Linked DNA regions of Macaca mulatta. The main gene of each other region encodes a partner of the protein of the gene in region 2 in a complex. Links are inferred from orthologs where the notes say so. Each region holds a gene or a part of one and is shown on either strand. Other genes may lie near its edges. The genes, in order: LSM3, SART1, UBL5, LSM8, LSM4, LSM7 and LSM6.

Region 1 (4,159 bases), on a different chromosome or scaffold from region 2:
GGGGTGGGAAGGAATCTGATTTCAAGGTAACTTGATAAATTTACTCACATGTAATCTGCCTCGAAGCTCTCGGTCATTTCTCATCTTCACATAAATTCGCTCATCTAGGCTGAGCCTGATAAGATCCAGGGGCTCCTCTACAGTGTTGGTAGTTTGTTGCTGATAACAGAAACAGGTTTAGTAATATAGTACTAGAGATAAAGTAGTGCTTAAATCACTGCTATGCTGTATGACCATGTGCAAGTTATTTAACCTTTTTCTGCCTCAGTCTCCTAATCTGTAAAATGGAGATAATAGTGTCTACCTAATACTGTTTTTATGAGGCTTAAGTGACATATATGAAGGCTTAGAACAGAACTTTTCACATAGTATGTGCTATATAAATGTAGATTAAAACACGCATACATAAGAAGGAGTTACACAGCAAAATAATCATGACTATACTTTGTTCCCTCAAAATCCAAACTGCCTGACCCGATTTCAGGGTATAGGGTCTTAGGAACTTTAGCTTTATCTCAAATATTATGTAATCATAGGAAAAACACTCACTTAATGCCTACCATATACTAGTCAGAATGCCAAGTAGAGGTGTAGGTTTATGGGAAGATTATGAATTCAGCACAGGTTGAGGTTAGGCTGCCAACTGGCCAGTAAGATGAATATTTAGTAGCCAGAATAGAACACTGGTTCAAAGCACTGGCTTAGCCGGGCATGGTGGCATGTGCCTGTAGTCCCAGCTACTCCGAGGCTGAGGTGGGAGGATTGCCTGAGCCTGGGAGGTGGAGGTTGCAGTGAGCCAAGATGGTGCCAACAAGCAAGCAAGCACTGACTTTGGAGTCAGGCAGTCTGGGTTCAACTCCTGGCTGTGACCTGACACTTATGAACTGAGATTAAAAATCATGCCATCTGTAATTCTCAGATTCTTCATTTGTAATTGAGAAAGCCACAACCTTCCTTCTGGATTCTTATGAGGATGAAACTAGTTAATGCATTTAAAACAGTGCCAGGAAAGCAGAAAATATTAATACTTAGAAACGGTTCCTTTTGGCTGGGCGTGGTGGCTCAGGCCTGAATTCCAGCACTTTGGGAGGCTGAGAAAGGCAGATCACCTGAGGTTAGGAGTTTGAGACCAGCCTGGCCAACATGGTGAACCCCGTCTCTACTAAAAATACAAAAATTAGCCAGGCGTGCTGGCACGTGCCTGTAGTCCCAGCTACTTGGGAGGCTGAGACAGGAGAATCGCTTGAACCAGGAGGCAGAGGTTGCAGTGAACTGAGATCACGCCACTGCACTCCAGCCTGGGCGATAGAGTGAGACTCCATCCAAAAAAAAAAAAAGAAAAGAAAAGATTCCTACTAATATTATATTATTAAAGAACTGCTGGAAACACTGGTTTTAGAGGTCAGGGCTAGGATGACTTGGGGTCACCCACATGGAAGGGAGGGTTGCAGCCATTAAAGAGTTAGATGATTCAAGGAGAGCTTCTTTAGTAAGTACACAAGGCCAGTGGAGGAAGGTAACTGAATTCGTAACAGGCGCTAAAGATTCAAAAGGCCCGATGAGAGAAAAAAAAATAACCTAACTCAACTGGTCCCTATGTCCCTCAGTTCAACAGGTGTTTGTTAAAGGATCAGATAACCAACTGTTAGATTACAATGATACAGAAGTCACAATCTCCACCCTCAAGGAGCTCATTCTAATGTGGATAGGCATATGAATAATTATAATACTGTAAGAATATGCACATGACAGAGCTCTACTGCTACCTAAGCCTCTGTCTGGGATGCCCACTTTCTGTTCTTTTTCATCCTGTAGCTTTATACATTGGCTTTTAAAAGAGGCCTCCTCTGATCATCTAACTCATTCACTCAAATATTTGTTGAGTATTTCCAGCACTGTTCTAAACCCCAAGGACAAAAGAATGAACAAAACAAAATGCCTACTGTTATGGCACTTACATTCTAGTCAGGAGAGATACACATTAAACAAAGATGCATACATTTAATATGAAAAAATAACGTTCTATGAAGAAAAATGAGGCAGGGTAAGCAGAGTAGGGGGAGTGCTATTTGGGCAGAAGTCCTCTCTGAGGAGGTGAGATTTCAGTAGAAAGTTTAAGTTGTAGCATGATCTCCAAAGATATTTGAGGAAGAAAAAGACCAGGTGAAAAAGCTTCTAGGACCATCTGTTATTCTGCATACCAGTTCCTTGTTTCCTTCATAGCACATCACAGTTCCTATAAATCTTACATATTTATATTTATCTGTTCTCCTCGCGAATATAAGCTCCAAGTCATGGCAAGGATCACTTATATATCGATGTCAGTGTCCCTGGCTCTTAGAACAGTGTCTAACCATACAAAGCTGATGTTCACTCTCTCTGCTGAATGAGTAAATAATTGTTGTGCTCAGTAATAACAACTCCTAACTTTATTATCTGGCTTTCTATTGGAATCCTGACAGCTCCGTGAGGTAGGCACGCATAATAATTTACAGATTTAAAAAAACAAAGCGAAGAGTGTGATGAATAGTCATCAGGTGGCCTTCTAACGGAAAAGACCTCAGGGCCTGCAGCAAAATTCGGACAGGGGTGTTTACGGAAAGGATGGGGCGGATTAGGCCGTGTGACTTGGAAAGAAGAGGCGCGACTGGCCATTTTTCCTGCGTTTGGAAAAAGCAGTTTAGTACAAGAAGCGGCGCCGAGCCACCGCCTTAAAATTCACTCACCTGGTCTACGTCGTCCGCCATGTTTCAAACCCTGCGCCCTTTCCCGCCTCTCGCGAGAACACAAGAGCAACGCCGAGCTCCGGAAACGTGATGCTACAATACACCGGAAATAGAAACCTGCTGTGCTCTTGCCTGCTTCCCGCGGTTTTTTAGTGGCCACGGGTATGGGGCGGAGCTTCCTTTGGGGGCGTGACTAGGCCTCCAACGAAGGGGCGTGGCCAGACGCGCCCGCCTCGGGGCGGGGCCTGCGTTCTAACGCATCGCGGCCTGGTGCGTCACTCGCGAAGTGGATTTTTCCCCGACAAGCAATATGGCTCGGAAGCGCGCGGCCGGCGGGGAGCCGCGGGGACGCGAAACGCGCAGCCAGAAGTCCAAGGCCAAGAGCAAGACCCGGCGTGAGGAGGAGGAGGGTGAGAGCGTGGCCCAGCGGGCTTCGCGGGAGACTCTGCCGGTGGGCGGAGGAGGCCCAGAGGCAGGGGCGGCGGGAGTCCAGACGCGGAGGCCGGGAGGAGGTTGCTGCGCGCGTTCCGCGCAGTGGGGGCAGCACGGCAGGCCGCGGCCGGCCCTCCCCGCTGTCCCTGCGCCTTTGTCCTCTGCACCCAGAGCGGCTTCCCGTGAGCCTCGCCCGACCCAAGCTCCTGCGTAGCTTCTTTCCCGCTCCCCGTTGTCCAGAGGATACAGCGCAGATGTTCAGGGTTGAACGCGGAGAAGGCAGTTATTTGTGTCCCAGGAAAACGGACGGACGGACCAGGACGTAGAGTGATGCAGTGTGCTGACTCCCGAATGATAACTTCAGCTGAGTCTCGCCCAGAGTTCCACAGTGGGATCCCACCTGACTTCCCCTCGTGGATATTGGATAGGCTTCTTACATTTGTCGTGGACAGTGCAGAGCTCATGGTCTTCCCCTTCAAATCTATGCTTTCCTCCGTTTTTCCAGTCCCAATACTTGTTATAAAACAAAGTCCACCTTTTTCTTATGTGCACACATCCAGTCCCGTCAGCAAGTCCAGTCAGTTCAGCCTCAGACTGTATTTCAAATTTGTCCACTTCTCTTCATTTCCATGGCCACAACCCCTGTCCAAGTCACCATCACCTTTCAGTTGAGTGACTGCAGTTTCCTCTTGACTGGCCTCCCAGCTCTGCATCCAGCAACGCAAATAATCTTTAAAAAAAAAAAAAAAAATCATGCCATGCTCCTGCTTTAAACTCTCCTTGGTTTTCCATTGCTCTTAGTTTAAAATCCAGTTGTCTTATCCTGGCCTGCAAGATGCTACGTGTTTTGGCTCTTGCTACCTCTCCTGTTTCTCCTACCACTTGTTTCCTTGCCAGATACCCTCCTCATTGGCCTCCTTTCTCTTCCTCAAATATGCCAAGTTATTTCTTGAGCCTTTTCCTTTGATATTCCTTCGGCCTAGAGTGACCCCCCACCATGG
Region 2 (3,931 bases):
CACCCAGCTAATTTTTGTATTTTTAGTAGAGACGGGGTTTTACCATATTGGCCAGGATGGTCTCGATCTCTTGACCTTGTGATTCGCCTGCCTCGGCCTCCCAAAGTGCTAGGATTACAGGCGTGAGCCACCGCGCCCGGCCTGCACTGGGGTTTTAAGTCCCAGTAGTTTTTTTTAGGGCTCCTCTCCTCAAGAAAAAAACTCATACACACAGATGTGCCACATTTTGCATTCAATTTCAGGGGTTCCAAGGATACACTGACGCTCATGTGGCGCTCCTTCAGTCTTAACAGTTCACGGGGCGCGGGTTTAAAAAATCCAATCCAGGGCTGGGCGCAGGGGCGCATGCCTGTAATCTCAGCATTTCGGGAGGCCAAGGCGGGTGGATAGCCTGGCTTCAGGAGTTCGAGACACCCCCCGCCCATCTACAAAAAAATACAAAAATTAAAGGGGCGTGGTAGCGTTCATTCGTAGTAGTCCCAGCTAGTGGGAAGGCTGAGGGGGTAGGATCACTTGAGCGCGGGAGGTCGAGGCTGCAGTGCGCCGTGATCGCGCCACTGCACTCCAGCCTGAGCAACAGAGTGAGATCCTATCTCAAGGGAAAAAAACAAAACAAAAAAACCAGGGAACGTGGGAAGGAAGCGTTCCCTAACGATACTAGTTATAGCGGGTCGGAAACTGGGCTATGGAATTTGAGATAACGGGAAAACAACACCCGTTGAAGCCACGACCCTAGGAGTCCACTAAGCGAGCGCCCATTGTAGGAGGGAGGTGTCTACGGAAAGGCCGTGAGGTAGTGAACACCCCGTTGTCGGTGAAGTGCAAGCGCAGGGATGCCGGGGAGGAACTTCCAGCCACGAAGACACTGGCTTAATGCCCTCTAAGTCCTTCCAGTTCTGGGATCCCATCTCCGGGTTAATTCCGCTTCCCTTGAGTAGCGAATGCACAACGGGACCACTGGCTCAAAGAACCCACCCGACCCGCGACGGCGCGAATGTGCAGTGGAGCAGTGATCCCGGTCTTCCCATGAGCCTCTGGGGCCGGCTCCAGGGCGAGCGACGGAAGCAGCCGCTCTTAGTTTCCGGCAACACGACAGCGGCTGCCGAGCGACCCGGAAGTATTCCCATTTTGCGTTGTCTGGGCTCGGCGGTAGCCGGGCTTGGAGTGGACGTGCCACTATGGGGTCGTCCAAGAAGCACCGCGGAGAGAAGGAGGCGACCGGGACGACGGCGGCGGCCGGCACCGGGGGCGCCACCGAGCAGCCGCCGCGGCACCGGGAACACAAAAAACACAAGCACCGGAGTGGCGGCAGTGGCGGTAGCGGTGGCGAACGACGGAAGCGGAGCCGGGAACGTGGGGGCGAGCGCGGGAGCGGGCGGCGCGGGGCCGAAGCTGAGGCCCGGAGCAGCACGCACGGGCGGGAGCGCAGCCAGGCAGAGCCCTCGGAGCGGCGTGTGAAGCGGGAGAAACGCGATGACGGCTATGAGGCCGGTGAGGAGGCGGGGCCTGCGCAGGGGGCGGGTCGGGCAGGGGTCCCAGAACGTGCGGGTCTGGGTGTGCGCACAGTGTCAGCAAAGCTCTCCGGATCGGGAAACCCCCAGACTGTCTATATCAACTCTTATTAAATAGTCTTTCTACGGGATCCCATGAGCCCAGGAGTTAGAGGCTGCAGTGTGCTGCGATCCCGCCAGTGCACTGCAGCCTGGGCAACAAAGCGAGACTCTGTCTCAAAAAAGCTTTTCTACGATTGTTTGGGATTAGAGGTAGACTGTCTCCACCTGGCTCCTTGAGGATAGAGAGCTTCCGTTTTTCTCAGTTGTCTGGTACAGTCACAGATTCTCAATAAATGTGTTGAATGAATGAATGAAGTAGTGTCAGCATATGCAGAGACAAGAAAAACCTGGTATTTGACGAATCGTATTGGACGAATCGTGTAGGGCTCCTGGTAGAGAAATGAAGGAGTAAGATAGGCAGGGATGTGAACGCAAAGGATCCTGTACTGTAGGCTCTGTTAAGAAATGTAGATTGTCTTGACAAGGTAGTAGGGAGCCTTGGCTGTGAGTTGAGGAGTGAGTTGCTCAGATCCGTATTTTGTAAACATTACTGGATTGAGAACTTAGTCAAAGGTAGTCAGGATTGGAGACCAGGAAATCAGGAGGGCTACAGACCAGGTGAGGGCTGATGGTGGCCTGCACCAAGGCAGCAGCAGTGGAGTGGAGAGAAGTGGACAGGTTGGAGAGGTGTTTTAGAGGAGGAATGAACAGAACTCAGTACTTGTATGAGGGTGGGAAGGAGAAGGAATTGAGGATGACTCCTTGAATTTTGGCTTGAGCAGCCAGATAGGTAGTGGGTGTCATTTCTACTGAAATTGAGGAGTAGGGAAGAGAAGGAGATTTGGAGCAGGGTGGGGGAAGATAATTCACTTTTGGGGTTGTCAAGGTTTATGTGCATAGGGAAATCCAGAGTTTGGACTGGATAAAGCCATTGGGAGTCAGTATCTGGGTGGCCAGTGAAGCCCGCGAAAGAATGCGACATGAGAAGCCGGGGTCAGGAATAGAACCTGAGAAATGCCCTTATGTTAGTAGTAGGCAGAGAAAGATGTTACCAAAAAAAGGAGATAGAGTAACCAAAGAGGCAGGAAAACCTTTGTGTCATGGGAACTTTGGAAATAGAGTATTGTTAGAAGGAGGGAGTGATCAGCAGTCCCATATACCACAGGAGATCAAGGAAAACCAGAACTGAAAAGAACCCGTTAGATTAGAAATGAAGGAGACTGGTGACTTTGGGGAGCCTGGAGAGATTGGGATCCAGGGCCCAGGTGGAGAGTGGAGCCTTTAAGATACAGGATGGGAATGCAGGAAAGGAAGAGGTGTTTTTTTTTTTTTTTTGAGACAAAGTCTTGCTCCATCTCTTTAAGAGACCTTGTCTCTTAAAAAAAAAAAATGAAAGAAAAAAGGAGAGGGCAGAATGGTGACTGTAGCAGTTTGGATCTCTTGGGTCAGGATAGGAAGGTGCGCAGAAGAGGCAGGGCTCTGAGACTGGACTCGGGCAGAGGAGCTGCTGGGGAGCTTGGGTGGAAGAAGCTGCTGTTTTCTGGTGTTTCATCAGGCCCAGGTGCTGGTGAGGGGCCCTCATCTTTGATCCTGCAGTTGGAGGCACTGATGCTGGCTTGTTGGCCCTATGTTCAGCTCCTGAGCCATGCTTCTTCTTCTTCCAGCTGCCAGCTCCAAAACTAGCTCAGGCGATGCCTCCTCACTCAGCATTGAGGAGACCAAGTGAGTACTGTCTCCCTTGTTTCCACTTTGTTTTTCTAAGATAGGTGGCTCTGGGGCCAGCCCTGGGGAGGCTTTCTCACATGAAAGTGTGCTAATTGGAGTTGGAAAGGTTGTATAGATCATTTTAGCCAACAGTAGAGTTATAGAAGAGGAAACTAATACCTAAGAGTAAAGTGGCATTCACCGGTTAGATGCAGACCAGGCTGGCGCCCATGTTTCCTGCTTTGGAGGCCAGGGCCCTTCCCAGTGTCCTAGGCTTCCTGGGGCAGACCGTGTGTTTGGGACCGCTCACTCCCACCCTGTTTCTTCTCCTGTCTGTTTGGAAATGCACATGGCACCCTGTGTCTTTGATAGCCCGTAACACTTGTATCCTTTGATAGCCCCTAACACTTGTATCTCTTGTTCTCAGTAAACTCCGGGCAAAGTTGGGGCTGAAACCCTTGGAGGTCAATGCCATCAAGAAGGGTGAGCATGGGGCTGAGGATGGGGTTTGGGGGAGAGGGCCATCTGAAGGGGTCTTTGAAGAAGGTGGGATTAGAGGGCAGGTTCAGCACGGTTTAGTGGTCTTACACATGCATATTTGCCGGAAGGCACGAGGTCCCTTCTTGCTGTTCTAATGTGGACCTGGGGCTCTGCTTGTTTTCTGAGTTAGAGCC
Region 3 (4,115 bases), on a different chromosome or scaffold from region 2:
ATCTATACCTCCTCAGGTCTGTGTGATTTCAGAATCTTAATTCCTAACAATTCCATCTACTGTCATGACCTGGAGGCTCTTTGGTCTATTAGGGTGACAATAATCCCAGCGTCTCTTGACCTTCAGACACCCACAGCAAACCCCAGAGCTCTCTCTGGGCTCCTACACAGACTCCCAGCCTGCTGGTCTACTCTGCCCTCATGGATCCAGTTGATCTGGAGCTCTTATTTCAGCAGGTACATACTGATGGTGCAGTGATGACCTAACAGCGACCAATCCATCCATCACTAGACAGCTCTCATGCAAAGAGACAGCAACAAAGCAACATCTAAGTCTTTATTAAGGTGAGTTTTTACAAACAAGCATCTATCCCAGTGTGGGGGATGAGGATGGGAAAGGAGAGCAGGGCAGCAGGAAGATGAGGATTCTCATCTATTGGTAATAAAGCTCCAGGTTCATCCCATCGTGGATTTCATCTGAAGGAAAGGTGTTAAGGAATCCTGACTCTGGCTTCCATCCCCACCCCTCTCATCCATTCACAGCTGGGTCAGGGTGGCCTGAGGTCTCAGTTCAGGGCTAAGGAAGCCCATTTTGGACCAGGCCATTTTTATTTGGAGAGAACTGAAACTTTACCAAAAAATTTCTGGCTGGGTGCAGTGGCTCACACCTGTAATCCCAGCACTTTGGGAAGCTGAAGCAGGTGGATCACTTGATGTCAGGAGTTTGAGACCAGCCTGGCCAACACTGTGATGTTTAAACACAGTGAAAACCCATCTCTACTAAAAATACAAAAAAGTTAGCTGGGTGTGGTGGTGGGCACCTGTAATCCCAGCTACTTGGAGGGCTGAGACAGGAGAATCGCTTACACCCAGGAGGTAGAGGCTGCAGTGAGCCAAGATTGTGCCACTGTACTCCAGCCTGGGCAACAACAGCAAAACTCCATCTCAAAAAAAAAAAAGTTTCTGTTCCTTCTAGGCCAAGTGTAGTGGCTCATGGCTATAATCCTAGCACTTTGGGAGGCCGAGGCGGGAGGATCACTTGAGGCCAGGAGTTCGAGACTAGTCTGGAAAATGTGGCAGAACCCCATCTCTACTAAAAATACAAAAACTAGCAAGGAGTGGTGGCACAGGCCTGTAATCCCAACTACTTGGGAGGCTGAGGCAGAATTGCTTGAACTCGGGAGGTGAAGGTTGCAGTGGACCAAGACCGCGCCACTGCACTCCAGCCTGGGCGACAGAGCGAGACTGTCTCAAAAAAATAAATAAAATAAAAATTCAAAAAGTTTCTGTTCCTTCTGCACAATAGATATACCTAAGTCTCACCCCACCCTGACCTACTGTCCAGCACTCAGGTGGAGGTCAGTAATAAATATTTTGAACTTGAAGTCAAACTTTCACCAACTACCCTCTCCCCAACCAAATAATTACATAGCTCCCATGTTCTTCTTTTTTTTTTTTTGAGACAGTATTTGCTCTGTTGCCTAGGATGGAGTGCAGTGGCACCATGTCGGTTCACTGCAAGCTCCGCCTCCCCGGTTCAAGCCATTCTCCTGCCTCAGCCTCCCGAGCAGCTGGGACTACAGGCGCCCGCCACTATGCCCGGCTAATTTTTTTGTATTTTTTAGTAGAGACGGGGTTTCACCGTGTTAGCCAGGATGGTCTCGATCTCCTCACCTTATGATCCGCCTACCTCGGCCTCCCAAAGTGCCGGGATTACAGGCGTGAGCCACCGCGCCCAGCCTAGCTCCCACTTTCTAAGTGCTCACCATGTGCCACGTACTAAGTTAAACACTTAATAAACATTATCTCATGCAGACTTTAGTTTGGAACGAAGATAACCGAGGCTGGGTATGTAGATGCTTCCTCAAGAAGTCACACAAAGGATACAGTCCCCCAGAGACACGTGGTCCTTAAAAATCGTGTACCTAAGGAAAAGAGACATTTCAGAGATAAGGCTAAGTAGGCTCTTCAGCCTGGAGGCCGAATGAGGTAGCCCAGCCTAAGCAAAGGGCTGCTTGCAGCGCTCCCCCAAACCAAAACCTTCCGGCCTAGTCCAGTCCACCCAGTGGCTCTACTACTGCACTCACCACTTCTTCAGGACAATCTTGTTCCAACGGGTGCCAGTTTGGGCTGCAATCAGCTTCTTAAGGTCCCCGATAGTATCATCCGTGCTGGGCGCAGAGGAGTTAAGGCAAATGGGAGCGGTAGAACGAGGAAGAGGACATTCCAGGGCTGAATACCATCTGCCAGGACCCCATCCGCCCCCTCTCCCGGGTTTAACTAAAACCATCCGACAACGGATTGAGTTGCCTGCCTCACGCCAAGCACCCCTGCGAGTACCACTGCCTCTCGGCTGCCAGTGGATACTTGCATTTAACGCGGACCTTCTTCCCCAGACGGTCGTTGCAAACAACCTCGATCATCCTAGCTGGAGCTACACAGAGCAGTGGGGTGGGAAGTAGCAAAATCAGAGCTTCGGGCGTCTCCCAGACCCAGAAGCCCCAGCCTACAAGTCTCCCAGTCCCAGGCCCTAAAATTCTCGGTTACTGAGCCTTCCGTTCTGCTCCCAACCCCCCGCACTCGAATACTCCCAGGCCAAGTCCCCTGTCCCAGGGCCGCGAACCCCAGGCAGCCGCGCATCCGCCCCTTCTCGACGCCTGAATGCCCTGACACGAAACTCCCTGGCCTCACCTCCCACCGACCCCAGACCCTGGGTGGCTGGGTCGCGACAGCTTTCCCCAACTCCGAGCCTCTCCGCTTGACCCCCTCACCTCGAATCGCCTCGAACCTGCCGACGCCACTAGCTCCTCACCCGAGCGCAGAACCCCGGCTGCAGTTGACGCTGGGAACCGGAAGCGGAAGTAAAAACGCGGGGCCGGAAGTCCCGCCCCTAGCCAGGCGGTGTGGTCAACACTGGCTCAGGTTCTTCCGGGTCTGCAGTCTGTTGTGTGTTTGCGGTTCACAAGTACGGTTTCCGTGACCCAAGGCTTGGCAGGGGGACGCCTGCGGTAGGCGCGTGGGGTAGAGAGGGGGGTCTTGGCGGGTGTGGGGCCGGGGAAAGGGCGTGGAGCGAGAGCCAGAGGTCCGGCGCTGGCCCCAGCTCTTTTTAAGTCATTGTTGCAGGGAGACTCGGTCACATGGTGGGACACCAGAGGGTCCCGGGGGTGGGGGCCCGAAGCCTCTTTATGCGGTTACTAGGAGCGAGGGTGGAGGGAGTAGGGGGAGCGAATTCTGCAGTCATCCCTTCTGACCCCCTGGGTTCATTCAGGGCTGGGCGTCGTGAGCATTTTGCTCACCTCTGCCCTCTGGCCATCGCATTCCCCCGGGATGCGGACTCCAGTCAATAGGCGAAGCTGGATCCTGGACTAGACTCTACGCTGCCGAATAGCTGCTGTTACCGCACAGTTGCAGGCTCTTGGTGCCCCGAACAAAAATTTGAACGAGTCACACAGAGATAGCAAAGCAGCAAGTTTATTAAGCACAGTATTCCACTCTCGGAGGGGAGAGCGGACTGACCTCTGCGAGATAAGATCAGCCCCAGCTTGGTGTAGTTTGGGTCTTTTTTTTTTTTTCCCGACGTAGTCTCGCTGTGTTGCCCAGGCTGGAGTGCAATGGTGCGGTCTCGGCTCACTGCAGCCTTCGCCTTCCGAGTAGCTGGGATTACAGGCGCCCGCCACCACGCCCGGCTAATTTTTGTAGTTTTTGTAGAGATGATGTTTCACCATGTTAGCCAGGCTTTTCTTCTTTTCCCAAGGCTGCCTAATCTGTAGCCAGTGTCTACCTTTTTGAATGATAGGTGTGTTGCTTAGTTACTTTGGCCCCTGTGCGCTTGAGGGCCGTCTTCATTCCATAATTTTAAGTACCTGCATGATATGCCGTCCATATGCATGAGCGCTAATGAGCTGGTTATCCTTACGTTAAGGATACTTTTTGTGTTTAATGCGCATGCTTATGCCTAAAGAGCTGTTCCTTACTGGTTTGGTCCTGATTTCCCTGGCCATGGGATTTTTACTCAGTTTTTAATCTTCCTTTTGTTTTGTCTCCTCAGCTTCTGCCATTTATCTTGCTTCTTGCTCACCCGCCCCTTCACCTTGCTTCTGCTCTCTGGTTTTACTT
Region 4 (4,004 bases), on a different chromosome or scaffold from region 2:
CTGTTAACAAAAATAAGAAAATTTAAACGTAAGGTTTTCACTAAATAAAAAATAATGCAAACATCTATTAATAGCAATAGGCTTCTTGAAGTGTTGAGGTTAAAATATGTCAAACTGTCCACATTTGAAAAAATACAATGTGAGGTGCCTAAGAAAACATGATTGCTTCCTTAAGAAAGAAGCCAGGCAACTGGCCTTGGCTTTGATGTCAAAGCAAATTTAAATCCCAGTTTGGTTCTGTCACCTGCTACCCTGTGACTCTGAGAAAGTGAGTCACCTTCTCTGAACTTGTTTCCTAATCTAGAATACAGGGGTACTTATTCTTCACAAGGTTGTATGTACATTAATTAATGTAACACATATGCACCTGGCACACGATATAAATTTAGTAAATGGCAAAGCTAGAACTTTGACTAACAATAGTCACTAAGAACAAACGAAAGCAAAACTGCAGAATGGAAAAATAAGTGATCAAATTATTTAAAGAAACTAGGTAGGGTTAGAAAAGTTTAGTAGCCTTAAAATTCTTTTGAAAGCATTTGGAGTAGGAATTTTAAGTGAAGAAATAATCAAGTACCCAAAAATCTTGAGATGAATTCCTCAGATCAAATTCCAAATACAAGTATCACCATAGGAACGTTTTATCTTTGTTATATGACATAAATTAGCAAGGGAGAAACAACTTCAAGGAACAAGCCAATTTTACGTAAATATGTGTATATAGAGAGAGTCAATCATCATAATGTGTCCTACAGAAGACATGTCACACAACCTAAAAACAAAGAATGTTAAGATTGTATACAAGCCTTAAATGTTGATATGTAGATATTAATAGTATCTAAATCATTAAAAAGTTACTAAGCATATGCAAAATTTCAAAAAATTCTGATTCATGTGGTGCCGAATGAGGAAGGAAATAAAAATGGAAGAAGAAAAGTAAGTTTAATGAAGGTCTGCAGACTAGGAGCTCTCTGAGGGCAGAATCTATAACTCTAGCTCCTAGAAGCCTTGTAGGTAACACGCCACGTTTATGAGTGAGGAAAACGTGGATTGACAGCAAAGTGATAAAGAGCTGAATTATAATAAAACTGCACTACAGGTGTAATGTGCTGTCTAGGCATTAGAGATCAGAGGTTTCACATAAAACTTGCAACCAATAAACCTACAGGAAAGCAGAGAATGAAAATTCCGAAGACTTACCACAATCATCCTCCCATCAGATGTAATAACGGCAACAGTTCCTGATAACTGAATAAAGGAAAGTGTTTCTTAGGGAATGCAAATTGAAAACAGACTCTGGCAAGGTAATGATTTAAATTATTAGAACAAATATGACAATTAGGTAAAAGTGTTCAACACAGCCACTAAGTTCACTACATAAAAACGTTGAAAGATTTTGGGACGCCAAGGCAGGAGGATCACTTGAGGTGAGACTAGCTTGGGAAACACAGTGAGACCCCCCCCATCTCTACTACCCTGGCCTGGTGACCTATAGTCCCAGCTACTCAGGAGACAGAGGCAGAGGCAGGAGGATAGCTTGAGCTCAGGAGTTCAAGGTTGCATTGAGCCATGATCAAGCCACTGCACTCCAGCCTGGGCAACACAGTGAGACCCTCGACTCAAAAAAAGAAAGAAAAAAAATTTTTTAAAAGCTTGTTTTAGTTTTGTGATAATTACATGACTAAAAAAAGGAAAAAATAGAAAAGAAAACCTCTTTCTGTATGTGATCGGTGTATCCTATCTCAAAATATCCTGGATTTTTGACACTTTTCTACTAGGAATGCTGCCAATCTATTATTTCGGACAGGATATTTCGTTTCTTGGGCCTGTTTATATCTAAAATGAAAACTGGATGAGTACTAAATTCATCGATGTTGGACGATTTTCAAGCATGTTAAAAAACTGTCTTCCGGGGCAGGCTTCTGTAATTCAAAAGTAAATAAACTATATAATCAGTGTCACAAGGTACTAACAATGCCTGTAACATTAAAAGCATTCGGTATTTAATTTTTGTCACCCAGTTTGTACCTGAACTTAACATAGTGTTTTTGTTCTGAGACTTTAAAACGGTAACACTTGTAAAGTCTATTTTAAGACTTCCCGTGGGGTTGTTACTTGCTCCTCACTATAATCCATTACAACAGCAAGCATTTTTTTCATTCCACCACCAGGTAGGGTCTTCAAGTGGTAAAGGGACAGAAACAGTCTGTGAACCATCGTTAAACTTTCTGCTATCCTCGAACTAATGAGCATATTATGTGAATAAAACAAGTACACAGATTTGCAAAACTGTTGTCGCAGCCAGGACGACTGTTCATCTTATTTACAAACTTGAACACTTATGCCCTAGGGAAATAGTAAGGAAGAATCAAGAGCGTAATTTTTTTTAAGACAGAAAAGTTCGGAAAAATCACACTGGGTTTTTATTTGGCTTTTGTAGACAAAATGGAAAGGACCCCTGGGCCCGCAGCAGCTGGCAGGCTCTAGGCGCCGCCGCCGAACTCTGGGTCATTCCGGGGTCCTCATCTCGCCCGCCCCCAGGATCCCGCCGCGGCCGGGCCTCCCAACTTCCCACCGATCCCCGAGCGGCGGTCTCTCCGCGGCCCCGGCTCACGCCCGCGGCGGCCAGCTTGAGGATACGGTTGATGTAGTTCTCCAAGGCGGACGTCATGCTGCTCGGACCGGCAGTTCCGGATAACGCAGTGGTGCCGGCCACAAGCAGAACTGAAAGGGCGCGCCAGAACTCGGCAGCGGTTCGCGTCTGCGAGCCGCCGCAAATATCGTGAGAGTTGCTGCTCCGCAGCCCTTTGACTCGGAAATTGGGACGAACTAGCCAACCAAACAGAAGCAGCGCCGCTCTGACGAGAGAGTGCGCGTGCGCAGTGTGTTTTCGCTGTAATTCTGGGCCGTGTTCCGGAAGCCGTGTAAGACAAAGGGAACGAGAGGCGGAAAAAAGGAGGACGCTTCCCGAAGGTGGGGTACGAGAGAGAAGTTGGGGGAGAGTGGGTTTCCAATCCGAGTAAAACCCAGTGTGGTGGAAGATAATAAGTGAAAATGTTGAGGTAGAGCAGGCAGGAAGAAACAGGATAAGGCGTTTTTTATTAGGAGTGAAGGAGGAGAGTAGACGAGCGCTGTTGTGTGAAATGCGGGTGCGGGTAGTTGAATCCCTAGTTTTCTGCAGCAGGAGCCGAAAATAACACTAAAAATAAGTCCAGTTGGCCGGGACAAAGTTGCGCACGTTATAACCACACGGTGTAAGCGTCTTAAGAACTCAACAATGAAATGCACGTTCGTATGTTCTGCTTTTGTCTCTAAAAGTGGTCCAAAATGGAGGTGTTTTTACTTTTTAAAGAAACTAAATGTAAATAGAAAAAGGTGTGTGACCATCCCTTAGAAAACGAATGTTCACGCTTCTACCACGCCGGGATGGTCTGCCGGAATTCTCCAGGGTGAAATTAATAAATAAAAGGCTCCTTCAGCACCAAGAAAGGACTGATGCAGGAAGGCACCAAACTTGGTTCTAATCTTGGCTCTGCTAACGTATTGGTGTCATTGCACAGGTCACTTCAATTCTTCTGGGCCTCAGTTTCCTTATAGTGCCATAGGTATCATTTCAGATATTTCCCAATGTGATACTGTTCCCACTTTATTTACTGTGTTGCCCTAACTTGAGAGAGCTTGAAGTTAGAAAGAGATTTATACACAAAACATCAGCAGGAGCGATTTCCCTTTTTTACAAAATATCTTTATGATTTAGGTTAAACATGTATTTTCTTAAGAATTGTGGCTTTGGAATAACTCTTGCAATGTCAGCAGTTTTCCTGGGAAAAGGAAGCATTTCTTAATTAGAGCATACCCACAAGATACCTACAAGATGACTCCCAAATAGTTAAAATTTTATATTCTGGAAGTTATTCCGATCTGTTTGAAATCAAATGTAGTCAGGAATTAGATTGTGAATGTCTCATATTCTCAGGGTAACAAATGAAAGTGTCTTCCACAAA
Region 5 (4,122 bases), on a different chromosome or scaffold from region 2:
GATCCTCAAAATCTTAAAAGAAGATACATCAAAGTGCCAGGTGAGGCTTGGCACAGTGGCTTGCGCCTATAATCACAGCACTTTGGGAGGCTGAGGTGGGAGGATCACTTGAGCCCAGGAGTATGAGACCAGCTTGGGCAACACAGCAAGATTCTGTCTCTACAAAAAATGTAAGAATTAGACAGGTTTAGTGACGCATGTGGTCCCAGCTACTTGGGAGGCTGAGGTGGGAGGATCACTTGGGCCGGTGAGGTTGAGGCTGCAGTGATTGTGCCATTGCACTCCAGCCTGGACGACAGTGAGAGCTCAGTTCCAAAAAAGAAAAAAAAGTACAGAGTGCAGTGGCTCACACCTGTAATACCAGCACTTTGACACACCGAGGTGGGTGGATCACCTGAGGTCAGGGGTTCAAGACTAGCCTAGCCAACATGGTGAAACCCCATCTCTACTGAAAATACACAAATTATCCAGGCGTGGTGGCGCATGCCTGTGATCCCAAGCTACTTGGGAGGCTGAGGCAGGAAAATCACTCTCTCCGAGAGGTGGAGGTTTAGTGGGCTTTCTTGCAGCATCTGGAATCTGGTTCTCAGGTCTAGATCCACAAAGACCTAATCCAGTGCCTCCTAATTCAGGAAGCTGTCCAGGACTGCCCATCCCCGCTCCTAACCCAGGCCACTCCTTCTGGCCCTGCCCTGATCACAGGGAACTGGAAGTGTGTATCCCATGATGCCTTGTCCATTCTTGGCCACTCCTCCAGGAAATGGCTGGATAGCCAGGACTCTGGATGTTCAGAAGGTGGGAAGGGGCTGAATGAATGAGTTCACACTTTGCCCAGGCACCGTTCTACACACTGGGAATATAGTTGGAAGAAAAAAAAAGATTCTGCTTCCACAAAACTTAACACGGGTGGATCCTTCCAGCTCTGCCCAGTCTTGCATGCCAACTCTGCCCTCTAAGTACATGGCAGAGGGACAGGCTCTCTAAATCCTTGCTCTTGAAACCGCCTTTGCAAAAATTGTAACTGAGGAAATTATGACAGCGAAAAGAGATCAGACCTAACCGACTCCATCGTGCTTCTAACCTTTAAGCTGTTCTTGTTTATTCCTGGGCATAGGCCGAACTAACCTTGGGAAGGGATTTAGTGTATAGTTTGAAACAAAATTGGTAATAGCCCTTTCCCGAAAAGACCCTTTTCTTGCCTGGGGACCAGTCTGCCTTTGTAGGACTAACAAATTAGCTGCACGATTAGAAATTATTGTTTACGGGTCATACAGCCTCTGGCTGCAAGAGTCTGAACCTCCCCAAATTGCTCCTAGGGATAACATCACTATTATAAAATCTAAGATCAGTGTTTGAGATATTTTGCAGACCCTGTACTTGGTGGATCAGCTGACACCACCCAGACCAGTAATTTGGCTCAACCAGTCCTGCAATCCCACCCAGGAACAGAAGACAGCAAGAAAATCTCACTTCAACCCCCGCCCCCGCCCCCCCCCCCCCCCCCCCCCCGCCAATGACTCCATCTCCAACCTCAGGAAGCTCCAACCAATCAGCACTCCCCACTTCCTGAGCTCCTACCCGCCAAATTATCTTTAAAAACTCGGATCCCCTAATGCTCAGGGGAGACTGATTTCAGCAGTAATAAAACTCCAGTCTCCTGCATAGCTGGCTCTGTGTGAAATACTCTTTCTGTATTGCAATTGCCCTGTCTTGATAAATGGGCTCTGTCTAGGAAGCAGGCAAGGTGAACCCGTTGGGTGGCTACACACTGACCAGCTGGATTTAGGGAGAGCTCTCTCACTAATCCACAGTTCTGATGCAGCCACCCCTGGGGGGCCCTCCTGGTTACTGAATCTCCCACTGTCTCACAGTCTGGAAGTCACATCCCCAACAAGGGCCTTGGTTTCTCTCATTGAAAAAAGAAGGGCCAGATGCTGATGAGCCAGGAAACTCCCAGCTCTGGATTCCTTTTCTGATCTGCACACTGGGAGACACAGGCACTTTCTAGCCCAGATCCAGAACTTACAGAATCATAAACAATGTGGCCCTGCAGAGACCTGGGCTGCAATTTTTCCTTCTGTGTACGGGGAGGATGTACTTTGCCCACCCCTAGCTCAAAACGCTCCCTTCCTCTGGAATGACATGCTTTGTGAACCAAGGAGAAACACCACACCCCAGCACCAGGCCTACTTTTCAGCCAGAAAACAAGAGGCCTAGGAGGCTCTGCTGCTAGCATTTTAAGCATCTTACAAGCTCTGAAATTCCTAAAACCAAGTTTCACAACTCAGACTGGCCCCCTACTTCCCAGCACTCTAGGTTTCAATCTGGGAGGTCAGACTGGGTCCGAAGCGTAAGGGACCCCCTTCCCTGCCCAAAAACTCTCTGTTGCATTTGGCAGATCCCCACTTTTTTAACCTCAGTTTCCCAACCTGCAAAATGGGAAAACTAAGTAAGGCGAGGCCACTGTACTGTGGATACGAGTACGTGCAACCCTAAATCCCAGACACGAACGTGGTAGAACCACCTGCAGTCTCCAGCATCAGTTTCCCGGCCTTGTGCCGGGGGACGGGACTCAAGGCTCGGACCGTACGTTCGCCCCGCGCCAACCCAGCCCTCAGCGCCCGCCCGCAGGGCTCCTAACGACTGCGGTTCCCGCCTCCCGGTGAGACCCCGCCGTTGCTCTGCCCTCACCATGGTGCCGGCGGGGACCGGGCTCGCCGGCCACTTCCGCCGCCGCCGCTGCACACGCTCCCGGCGGTCTTCGCCACGCCGCGCCGCGCGCCACTGGGCTGAAAGAAAGTGGCAGAGACGCGAGCCAGTCAGCACCGGGCTAGAAGGGCGGTTAACCAATCCACGCGGAGTGGGGCGGGGCCCGCTAGGCGAAAGGGGCGGGCCGGGCCGTGTTCCCGCCAGAGGAACGAGGAAGAGAGCCGTAAAGTGCCGCGGCTTGTAATACAAAAGGGGGCGGAGCAACGCGCGCCGGGGCGGGGTGCATTGTGGGTAAACGCGTGCGCAGGTGAAACCTTCGTCGGTCTTCTGGGCTCCACGCTGTGGGCAAAGCCAGTAACTGCCTTTGCAGTTGAGGGAGAGAAATCCAGGCTTCGTGGTGATTGGGACGTCCCTGGTGTCGCCCTTCGGACTCCTAGTTTTCTGATTCTGTAATTATCCAGGGAACATCATTTAGTAGGTTGGAATCCTGACCACGACCCTCGGGGCCTCAGTTTTCTCCCTGTAAATAGTAGTGTCTGCTCCAAAACGTTACTTACTATGAGGATGAAATGAATGAAACCGTGTAAAAGCACTTAAAACAGCGTCTGGCATATATTAAGTACTTAATACCTATTCTGTGCCTGCTTCTGCTCATAGAAATGAACAGTACACAAAATTCGTGGCCCTTAGGGAGACAGACAGTAAACAAAGTAAATAGGCGAATGCTATTAGTTCCCTGGGGCCTGCTGTAACAAATGCCCACACACTGGGAGGCTTAAAACAACAGAACGTGATTTTCTCATAATTCAGGAGACCAGAATAATGAAATGAGGTTGTCAGTAGGGTTGGCTCCCTCTGGAGGCTCTGAGGACAATCTGCGTGTCCTATGCTTCTCTCCTGGGTTCTGGTGGCTGCTGGGAAACCTCGGAGTTCTTGGCTTGTAGATGCAGCCTTCCGCGTTCTGCCTCTGTCGTCACTTGGCCTTCTCTGTGTGTCTCTGAGTCTCAAACGACTCTCTCCTTTTTTTTTTCTTTTTTTGTAGAGACAGGGTCTCCCTATGTTGTCCAGGCTGGTCTCGAACTCTTGGGGTCAAGCAATCCTCCCTCCTCTGCCTCCCAAAGTGCTGGGATTACAGGCGTGAGCCACCGAGCCCAGCCTCTCCGTTTTCTTATAAGGACACGCCTTTCTCTTATTAAGCCCACCATAAATTCAGGATAATGTCATCGCAAGATCCTTAATTACATCTGCAAAGACCCTATTTTTTTTTTTTTTTTTTTTTGAAATGGAGTCTCATTCTATCACCCAGACTACAGTGCAGTGGTGGGATCTCAGCTCACTGCAATCCCTCCGTCCTGGGTTTAAGGGATTCTCCTGCCTCAGCCACCAGAGTGGCTAGGATTACAGGCACACGCC
Region 6 (4,070 bases), on a different chromosome or scaffold from region 2:
CTCGCCGCCTTAGGTCACAACTTGGCACCTTGGGTTAGGGCTCTCTGACCCGGTGGTGACCTCTGCCATCTGATCCTGCTCCGCAGTGTCTGGTGACACTGAGAAGGGTGAAGGGGGAGCTGCGTGTCCTCAGCAGAGGCCAGCCCACCCTCCCTGTCCGGGACTCCCGTCCTCTCCCCCCAGGCTCCTCCAGCCCAGGCCCAGGAGCGGTTCCGCCTCTGCGCTCACTGAGGGGCGTCCCACAGCCACCCGCTCCCTACCCTCCTTCTTACCCCTGTCATCTTTCAGGTGCTTCCTCCAGACACCAACCCACACCCCTTAGGGTGCTGCCCTCTGCATGCCCCCCACCAATCTCAGGAAGCAGGCACCCCAGGCATTATTCTGCCCGCCTATCTTCTCCCAAGGCAGGGCTGTGAGCCTGTCCATGGCCGTTCTGCGCTGCGAACTACGACCAGAGGCGAAAGTGGCCCACCGCTCATCTCTGTATGCCAAAGTTTCACTGGCCCACCAGCACACTCGCCCGCTCAGGCACTGACCAGGGCGGCTCTCCTGCTCTGCGGGCATAGCTCACTGGTTGTGACAAGAGACCATCTGGGCTGCAAAGCTGAAGATATTTGCTGTCTGGCCTTCTACAGAGAAGGTCTGCCCACCTGCATACAGGCTTTAGCTCCTACCTCCACGGCTCCCTCTCTCTGTGCTCAAGTCCCTCCCCTGCAAAATGAAACTTGTCACCTATGAGATGGGGTCAGACGCAGCGGTTCAGGTCCTTGGCACCAGCCTGACCAGTGAGCCAGCCCTCCTCACGGGGACAGATGTGAGCACTGAGGTAGGTAGGTCTCTAACCAAGGTTCCCCTCCCCGGGGTGTGGGCTCGGGCCTGTGACTCTGAGGGGACATGACGTCACTCCTGCACTTAGGTTATGCAGCTGTTTAAGCCCCTGAACCAGCTGACTTTGAGCCAATCTAGAGGGAAACACCCTGGGTGAGCCTGACCATATCAGGTGAGTCCTTCAGGGAGCAAACCCTTTCTCTGCTGTGTGTGTGCGTGTGTGTGATTTATTTATTTTTAGACGGAGTCTCGCTCTGTCTCCCAGACTGGAGTGCAGTGGCGCGATCTCAGCTCACTGCAACCTCTGCCTCCTGGGTTCAAGAGATTCTCCTGCCTCAGCCTCCTGAGTTGTTGGGATTACAGGTGTGCGCCACCACGCCCAGCTAATTTTTTTGTATTTTTCGTAGAGATGGGGTTTCACAAAACCCCATGTTGGTCAGGCTGGTCTCGATCTCCTGATCATATGATCCGCCTGCCTCAGTCTCCCAAAGTGCTGGGGTTACAGGCGTGAGTCCCTGCGCCCCGCCAAGAGCTGCAGCATGCATCACCAGCCCACTGCCCATGCGAATGCTTCCTGCCCTCTGAGAGCTCGCCCTGTCTTCACTAGATTCCATGGAAGAGTCGCAGGCAGAGGCAAGCATCAGGTTAACATGCACGAAACCGCAAACGGTGACAGGTGCCACCAGGATCCTAGAACGATGGGGGGCCTGACGCCAGGGTCAGGGAGGGCTTCCCAGAGCAAGCACCTGTGGAACTTGTGCTTTTGCCGCCCTTTGCAGTCATAATCAGAAGTATGGATTCGGATTTTACTCCAAAACAACGGGGAGCCTCAGAGCTTTTCAGCAGGGAGCAAGAAGCCTCCATTTCTTTTTCATTAGGTGCCTCTGGCCGCTGAGTGGAGACTGACCTTAGTAGCTGTGATTCCCAATCACAGCTTGGGGGTCGGGGGGCGATCCTATCCCCAGAGAACACTAAGCAATGTCTGAGGCTATTTAGGTTGTCACAACTTGGTGGAGGCCAGGGATGCTGCTCAGCACCCTGCAGTGCCCCAGGACGGCCCCACTCCAGAGAATCCGGCCCCAAATGTGTCCACACTGCTGTGCGGGAAAGACCTTGACTTAGAGGGAGGAAGAGGAGAAGCCGGGAGATCTGTGGGGATCTGGGGCAGTCCTTGGACACACAGGACTGCTCTGGAGGCCAAGCCGGAAATCCCAATACCGGCTGCGCCACTGTGACTTTGGGTTACGTTTGTTTCCCGCTCCTTGCCCCAGTTTCCCCGCCTGCAAAATGGCCATACCAGTTCCTACCTCCCGGCGTAATTCGGAAGCCTGCACAAGGTAGTCGGCGTCAAGCGTGTAAAGAGGCGCCTCTGCGGCGGCTCACGCCTGTCATCCCAGCACTTTGGGAGGCCGAGACGGGCGAATCACTTGAGGTCAGAAGTTTGAGACCAGCCTGGCCAACATGGTGAAACCCCGTCTCTACTAGAAATACAAAAATTAACCAGGAGTGGTGGCGCCTGTAGCCCCAGCCACGCAGGAGGCTGAGGCAGGAGAATCGCTTGAACCCGGGAGGCGGAGGTTGCAGTGAGCTGAGATCGCACCACTTGCACTCCAGACTGGGCGACGGAGCGAGACTGCGTCTCAAATAAATACATAAATAAAAATAAATAAAAGAGGCGCCTCTGCATGCATCCTCATCACCTCTCTTGCTGAGTTTATTTTAAAATTTTAAAGGGGGGGTGCCAACGGCGGGAGCCGCCTCACCTTCGCGTCCTCCCTGAAACTTCACCCGGATCGTCTTGTCGATGTACTTGGACAAGTCCAAGATGCTCTCCTTTTTCTTCTTCTCCTTATCCTGCGGGGAAAGCAGAGCGCATGAGGCCTGGAGCGCGGCCCGAGCCCCACGCCCCCCGGCTCCGGATTCCGCCGCGCGCTCACCGCCATCTTGTCGCGCCGTGCGGCTCTTCGCAGACACCGCCCCGTGCCCTGTGACCTCTCCCCTCCCCCCCCACGCGCATGCGCGGCGCATGCGTGGCCCGGGGTCTCGGGGCGTTGCTGGGAAACATCTGCCGACGGTTGCGGCGGGCACCGGCCGAGATGGCGGCGGTGGCGGCGGCTGCGCTGGCGCGGCTTGTGGCGGCCTTTCTGCTCCTCGCGGCCCAGGTGAGCGCGGCACCGGTCCCGACGGCACCGCAGGCTGCGGCCCTTCGGCCTCTCGGCCCCGAGGCTACGCGCAGGAACGACCCCTCTTGGCCCGTCTTGGGGGGTCGAGCCTCGGGGATCCGCGGTCCCCTCGTTGTCGGCCGGCGGTGCCGGGGCCCGGCCGTGACCTTGCGGGGCTGTCCCCGGCTTCTCTCCCTTCCCCGCCTCGGAGGCCCTCCGCCGCTGCAGCGCCCCTCACTTCCCACCGGGCCTGAAGTTTGTGCCCCCTCCATCTCCCGGTTCTGCTTGTCCGTTTCGGGGTCTCCAGCCGCCGCGGGGGACGCCTCTCTCCCGCTCTGTGGCCTTGGGCAGGCGGCCGCCCACCCCGCTCCGAGCCTCAGTTTCCCTTTAGGCGGAATGGCCGGGTGCTAAGCTAACCTCACCCTAGGGGGTGCGGTGGGGGAACCCAGAGGCGTCCCGCGTGTCCCCCAGTGACTGGCCAGCATCCTGGAGCGGCCAAGAGCCCAGCCCTGCACTGGGGTCGTATCCCCGCTCCATCTTTTACTCCGTGACCTTGGACGAGGGAATTCCCTGCTTTGAGCGTCGGTTGCTCGTCTGGAGAAGGGGGGTCGACTATGGTGTGGATTCTGGAGATGCTACCCAGGGTGACCAGCGCCTAGGGACAGCACGCCTTCCTTATATTCATTGTGTATCCTTTGATGTAGAGTGTCAGGTTCTAGCGGGGACAGTCTACGAGATGGCACTGTCGTAACTGCATCTTTTATTTTCTTAATTCCAAGTCTTCCCTCTTACCTGAGTTTGGTGGCTCAGGGAATGGAACCCGGAGCAGCCTCACAAATGCGGCCCTTAACCTTCACTCCTCTCTCAGAGTTCTCTTAAGGCGTTGCTGCCACTGGGCTCCTTCTTAGTCTCCACTCTTCCAGCCCCACCGCCATCCCCCTGCTGTGGCTGCCTTTGTCCCCCACATCCCTAGTCCATCCTCGACACAGCAGGAGTGACCCTTTCAAAGTATGTCAGTCCATGTCGCATCTGGATGAACGTGCCGTCCAGTTGTGACCTGGCGCCAGGGAAGCCTGCAGC
Region 7 (3,992 bases), on a different chromosome or scaffold from region 2:
AAGCAAAAACTTGCAAGGAAACATTACAATCCAAGTAACTGCAGCACTAGACTAACAGATCAGTGTCTGAGGAGGCGATCAGACACGGAGAAGAACAGCTCTCCAAGTCCTCCCTTCTGACACAGTGGAGTGCCTCGCTGTCTTGTGAAGGCTTCATACCAATCCCTCCTTCCTGAGCAGCAGGCGCTACTTCTCTCCCTCTCTCCCAAAGGCGAAGTGAGTCCACTCAGAGCACCTCTTTCCACTCTCGGTCATGGTCCTTATCAGGCTGCTTTGTAATTTTTCCATTTGCTGACAGGTCTCCCATGGTGAGTTTTAAGCTCCTTGGGGACAGGGGAAATATCCTACTCACTTGGTATCCCTGGTACCTAAGCACACTGCCCAAGTCTGTGGAAGAGACATTCAAGGCCAGTGCCAAGCAAAATCCCTGTCCAGCCCCCACCAACCCAAACTATGGATACAGTGACTAGTAGGATCATGCACGTACTTCAACAAATACTAACCAAGTAATCTCTATTAGGACCACCAAAGACGGAGAAAACAACCCTTTCTGTCATTCAAGAACCAGCTGTTTCCAAATCTAGAGATGCTTGTTAAAATGCAGATTCCTGAAGTCTACTCAGGTAAAAGCACTGTATTTTACATTTTATGAAGTTCTCCAGATAATTTATTTAAGCAAATGGTTCTCAACTAGGGGCAGTTTCCCCAACCCCACCCCACCCTGCTCAGGGACATTTGGAAGTATCTGGGGACACTGAACTGTCAAGACTGAGGAAGGTGGTGCTACTGCTATACTAGTGGGTAGAGACCAGGGATGTTGCTAAACATTTTACAACAGGACCGCCCTCCACAACAAAGGACTGTCCAGCCCAAAATGTCAATGGAAGCTGAGAATCTCCGCTATAAGCCCTAAAAAAAAAAACCACCAACAACATTGTTCTTTGGTTTTAAAGTGAGGAGTTTTAAAGAAATCTCCAAAGTACAGCAAATGATAACCAAAAGCTACATTCTAACCAAATGATGGAGTGTAGATTATAATTAATCAGGGATGTTTTATTCTAACATAAAGGGAACCTGAAAACAACTGTCAAAATCTTGAAGGGGTTGCCATTCTAAATAATGGATTTCTAGTCTTAGCCATGAAAATAATCACTTTCCAATTTCTCAGTGTTACAGGTCCCTCCGATCATTAATCTGTTAGTACACTTTTAAAAGGAGAGAATAATCCAGGTGATGTAAACAAATTTTTAAATTCTAATATCTACTATGCCACAGTTCAGTGAGAGACTGCCTGATGCAGCACAGGGTACTCACTTGGGAGGCAGGAAACCTGAGTTCTAATCCCAGCTCTGCTACTTAATTAGCTGTGTGACTTGGATAACTCATCATTTCACTTCTCATGGCCCCAGGTTCCTCATCTGCAAAATAAGGGAGTTATGCCAGATGACCACTTAAGTCTCTTCCTGCCCTAACATTCAGGTAGTAACGCATTAACTCCAGTGACACACACACACACACACACACACCCACAAACATAAGCCTCTCAAGATTTCTGTACAATATTCAAGCAAGTAAAATTGCCAAACACCTGAAAAACTTTTTTGGAAAACACTGCAGCAATGTGTACGAAGGCCTAAAAAAGGCCTTACAGATGAAAGCATCTAATCTGATAATTTCACTTCTGAGAATCTAGTCCAAGGAAATAATCTAAAAAATAGGGGGGAAAAGGTTTATCAAAGTATTATCTGGGGTGCTAAGAGATTCAAAAATTCAAAAACAATCTATAATATCCCACAATCGGGAAATGACTGAATAATTTATGGGACCTACATTGCGATCCACAATGAGGGACAGTCAATCAAAAGAAGATACAAAACTAGAATAATATTTAGGAAGAGTTTTTAAATGGAAGTGGTAAACTATACTGTTAAGTGATTAAACATGTACACTCCTAGCTCAAGTAGAAGCTAGCATACACAGGAGAAAAAGATTGTAGGTGAAAGGGTTGTGAATACTATTTCTTCACTAAAGTCTTCCATGTTTGCAATTTTCTACAATAGTCACATATTACTAAGAGCAGTGGGGTAGGGTAATCCGCTTCATCCTAATGCTACACATCTTAAAAACGCCTGCTATGCACGCGCGCGGACACGCGAACGCACAGAAAACCTCGGGCAATAGGACTTAAGACCATACAATTGGGTTCCTAGGCCTGACAACTCAGTAAGACAGGCGAGTCGAGTCCTTAATTCCTGTGGTCAGGCGCAGCCACCCCGATGTAGGGAAGGGTTAGCAATTCCCTGAAGCCCTGGAAGACTGGCGAAGCCTAGGCCTGGGTTCGGGATCCGCTTTCCCGCCGAATCCTGGGATTAGCCTCGGGGCTCCCTGGGGAACTTCAACAACCTCAACTGGTCTCGGACGCCAACTCGGTGGGAGCCGGGACGGTGCCGCTACTCTCTGCGCAGTCTAAGCACCTCGCTGAGGGCGGTCCCGGCGCCCACTATCAGACCTCTCCGGCCATTCCGTGAGCGGAGAGCTTGGACGCGGCATTTCGCGGAAAGCTGCCACTCAGCGGCCCCTTCCCGGAGCCCCAGCCCGTTCCCCTCAGGCCCTTTCCGGGGCTGCCTCGCCCGGCCTAGGGCCGCTGCAGCCGCCGCTCCACAGCGCGACTGAACACTGGGGCGTCGAACCCGGGGCTACGCCCGGCCCCGTCATCGGCCCGCGCAGCCGTGCGGCTCACCTCGCGGGCGGGATCCAGAACCCTCACTCCAGGCGCCCCACGAGTCCGGCCTCCGCGGATGATCGCAGCCAAAAGCGAAACCGCCGAGGCAGCGGCACTTTTCTGCCTCGGCCAATCACTGCTCTTCTCTGCTACGGCAGCCCGCTGGGGCCGAAAAGCCTGTCAGCGCCGAAGCGCGCAAATCCGAGAATCCTGTTTTGTCTAGTAGCAAAATTGGTGCACTGGAGTTCCTCTGACAGAAATCTGAATACAAAACAAATATAATATAAAACAAAAACAAAAATCCAGGAAACTAGAAGTGATCTTTTGTCCAGGATTTATTTGCAGAAGTGTAAAAAATAACTTGAAGTCATAGGAAACTGGAATTTACTGTTTAAGTAACGGCACTGTGTACCCAGAAACGTCCTTGAATAGTTTAAAGCAAATAAATAAATAAAACACCTCAAGTCTTTAAATCTACCTCTGGATATTTATTAAATGTGTGAAGACTTAAGCCATTTTAGCAAGAGACTGTTTCCATGGCAATGTTGATTAAAAAATAATTAAAATCACTCAAGTAACTCCGAATTATAATGACATTAATTGTGTTACATTAAAAACTTGTTCCAATTGGAAATGGTGTGCAGACATTATTTAAGTGCTACTATGGGAACTTGGTTTGGAATTTTGCATGAATTCTCAACACTCTTTCTATTAATGGGATTGGAAGGGGGAAAAAAGAGAACTGTTACCCCAAGACTTGATTCCTTTACTCTCATCAGCTGAAAACTTACTTTAATTTTATTTATGGTTTGTAACGCTACACACAAAGCAATAAGATCTTCCAACACAGATCCTTAACCCCATTAGGTGTTATAAAATCTAAGATGCAGAATTTTTTTCTGAGATAAAGAATTCCTCCCTTGTAACCTTCTTTTGGCTAAAGGCAGAAGAAATGAACTTTTGATTGATATCAGGGACAGAAAACAAGTGGATGTGATTTGGTAAAGAATAGAGACTTCCTTATATCCTTCTATAAAAGCTCAGTTTGGGTAAAGACCAAACAGTTACTGATTTATTGAGAGGACTGTATTTGAAGTTCTTGCAATATAAAATATAATATAAATAAAAATTTTAAGAAAAGTACTGTTTAAATCAAATAATTACTTGCAAAGTACAAACATAACAGGATAAAAAGGCCTGTTCCTAAAAACTTTCTTTGCAAGACATCAAATTGCACATTCCTTACTGGTTGTTTAAATTATTAAAAAAA

Evidence for each region.
Region 1: SART1 (region 2) and LSM3 share a complex: the UniProt entries of both Homo sapiens proteins name them as parts of the U4/U6-U5 tri-snRNP complex. The link is inferred for Macaca mulatta from reciprocal best matches to the Homo sapiens genes SART1 and LSM3.
Region 3: the proteins of SART1 (region 2) and UBL5 are in contact, whole or in part, in a crystal structure (PDB 4PYU), measured with the Homo sapiens proteins. The link is inferred for Macaca mulatta from reciprocal best matches to the Homo sapiens genes SART1 and UBL5. Residues at the interface, in NP_005137.1 of Homo sapiens: Ser117, Leu118, Ser119, Ile120, Thr123, Leu126, Arg127, Leu130, Leu132, Lys133, Leu135; in NP_001041706.1 of Homo sapiens: Met1, Glu3, Arg15, Lys17, Cys18, Asn19, Asp21, Asp22, Asp26, Lys29, Leu30, Ala33, Gln34.
Region 4: SART1 (region 2) and LSM8 share a complex: the UniProt entries of both Homo sapiens proteins name them as parts of the U4/U6-U5 tri-snRNP complex. The link is inferred for Macaca mulatta from reciprocal best matches to the Homo sapiens genes SART1 and LSM8.
Region 5: SART1 (region 2) and LSM4 share a complex: the UniProt entries of both Homo sapiens proteins name them as parts of the U4/U6-U5 tri-snRNP complex. The link is inferred for Macaca mulatta from reciprocal best matches to the Homo sapiens genes SART1 and LSM4.
Region 6: SART1 (region 2) and LSM7 share a complex: the UniProt entries of both Homo sapiens proteins name them as parts of the U4/U6-U5 tri-snRNP complex. The link is inferred for Macaca mulatta from reciprocal best matches to the Homo sapiens genes SART1 and LSM7.
Region 7: SART1 (region 2) and LSM6 share a complex: the UniProt entries of both Homo sapiens proteins name them as parts of the U4/U6-U5 tri-snRNP complex. The link is inferred for Macaca mulatta from reciprocal best matches to the Homo sapiens genes SART1 and LSM6.

The regions. Positions count from the first base shown.
Region 1 is NC_133407.1:152,980,496-152,984,654, reverse strand, and holds the start of LSM3 (U6 snRNA-associated Sm-like protein LSm3), read right to left. Parts: upstream 2,801-4,159; 5' UTR 2,748-2,800; coding exon 2,727-2,747; intron 160-2,726; coding exon 49-159; intron 1-48. Other genes in the region: XPC (DNA repair protein complementing XP-C cells), read left to right, coding at 3,037-3,136. UniProt on the Homo sapiens protein: Plays a role in pre-mRNA splicing as component of the U4/U6-U5 tri-snRNP complex that is involved in spliceosome assembly, and as component of the precatalytic spliceosome (spliceosome B complex).
Region 2 is NC_133419.1:8,455,685-8,459,615, reverse strand, and holds the start of SART1 (U4/U6.U5 tri-snRNP-associated protein 1), read left to right. Parts: upstream 1-1,131; 5' UTR 1,132-1,178; coding exon 1,179-1,491; intron 1,492-3,217; coding exon 3,218-3,275; intron 3,276-3,684; coding exon 3,685-3,740; intron 3,741-3,931. UniProt on the Homo sapiens protein: Plays a role in mRNA splicing as a component of the U4/U6-U5 tri-snRNP, one of the building blocks of the spliceosome. May also bind to DNA.
Region 3 is NC_133424.1:10,532,519-10,536,633, reverse strand, and holds UBL5 (ubiquitin-like protein 5), read right to left. Parts: upstream 2,801-4,115; 5' UTR 2,691-2,800; exon of another isoform or gene 2,640-2,690; coding exon of another isoform or gene 2,571-2,639; intron 2,434-2,570; 5' UTR 2,423-2,433; coding exon 2,367-2,422; intron 2,171-2,366; coding exon 2,087-2,170; intron 1,925-2,086; coding exon 1,887-1,924; intron 477-1,886; coding exon 433-476; 3' UTR 410-432; downstream 1-409. Other genes in the region: PIN1 (peptidyl-prolyl cis-trans isomerase NIMA-interacting 1), read right to left, coding at 2,571-2,639. UniProt on the Homo sapiens protein: Ubiquitin-like protein that plays a role in cell proliferation and sister chromatid cohesion by associating with spliceosomal proteins. Participates thereby in pre-mRNA splicing by maintaining spliceosome integrity.
Region 4 is NC_133408.1:157,715,904-157,719,907, reverse strand, and holds the start of LSM8 (LSM8 homolog, U6 small nuclear RNA associated), read right to left. Parts: upstream 2,801-4,004; 5' UTR 2,672-2,800; coding exon 2,641-2,671; coding exon of another isoform or gene 2,576-2,640; intron 1,249-2,575; coding exon of another isoform or gene 1,242-1,248; coding exon 1,201-1,241; intron 1-1,200. UniProt on the Homo sapiens protein: Plays a role in pre-mRNA splicing as component of the U4/U6-U5 tri-snRNP complex that is involved in spliceosome assembly, and as component of the precatalytic spliceosome (spliceosome B complex).
Region 5 is NC_133424.1:18,849,963-18,854,084, forward strand, and holds the start of LSM4 (U6 snRNA-associated Sm-like protein LSm4), read right to left. Parts: upstream 2,801-4,122; 5' UTR 2,695-2,800; coding exon 2,692-2,694; intron 1-2,691. UniProt on the Homo sapiens protein: Plays a role in pre-mRNA splicing as component of the U4/U6-U5 tri-snRNP complex that is involved in spliceosome assembly, and as component of the precatalytic spliceosome (spliceosome B complex).
Region 6 is NC_133424.1:3,075,559-3,079,628, forward strand, and holds the start of LSM7 (U6 snRNA-associated Sm-like protein LSm7), read right to left. Parts: upstream 2,801-4,070; 5' UTR 2,772-2,800; coding exon 2,766-2,771; intron 2,683-2,765; coding exon 2,592-2,682; intron 2,525-2,591; exon of another isoform or gene 1,436-2,524; intron 1,001-1,435; exon of another isoform or gene 917-1,000; intron 827-916; exon of another isoform or gene 405-826; intron 1-404. Other genes in the region: SPPL2B (signal peptide peptidase-like 2B), read left to right, coding at 2,925-2,990. UniProt on the Homo sapiens protein: Plays a role in pre-mRNA splicing as component of the U4/U6-U5 tri-snRNP complex that is involved in spliceosome assembly, and as component of the precatalytic spliceosome (spliceosome B complex).
Region 7 is NC_133410.1:154,723,947-154,727,938, reverse strand, and holds the start of LSM6 (U6 snRNA-associated Sm-like protein LSm6), read right to left. Parts: upstream 2,801-3,992; 5' UTR 2,741-2,800; intron 1,419-2,740; exon of another isoform or gene 1,315-1,418; intron 1-1,314. UniProt on the Homo sapiens protein: Plays a role in pre-mRNA splicing as component of the U4/U6-U5 tri-snRNP complex that is involved in spliceosome assembly, and as component of the precatalytic spliceosome (spliceosome B complex).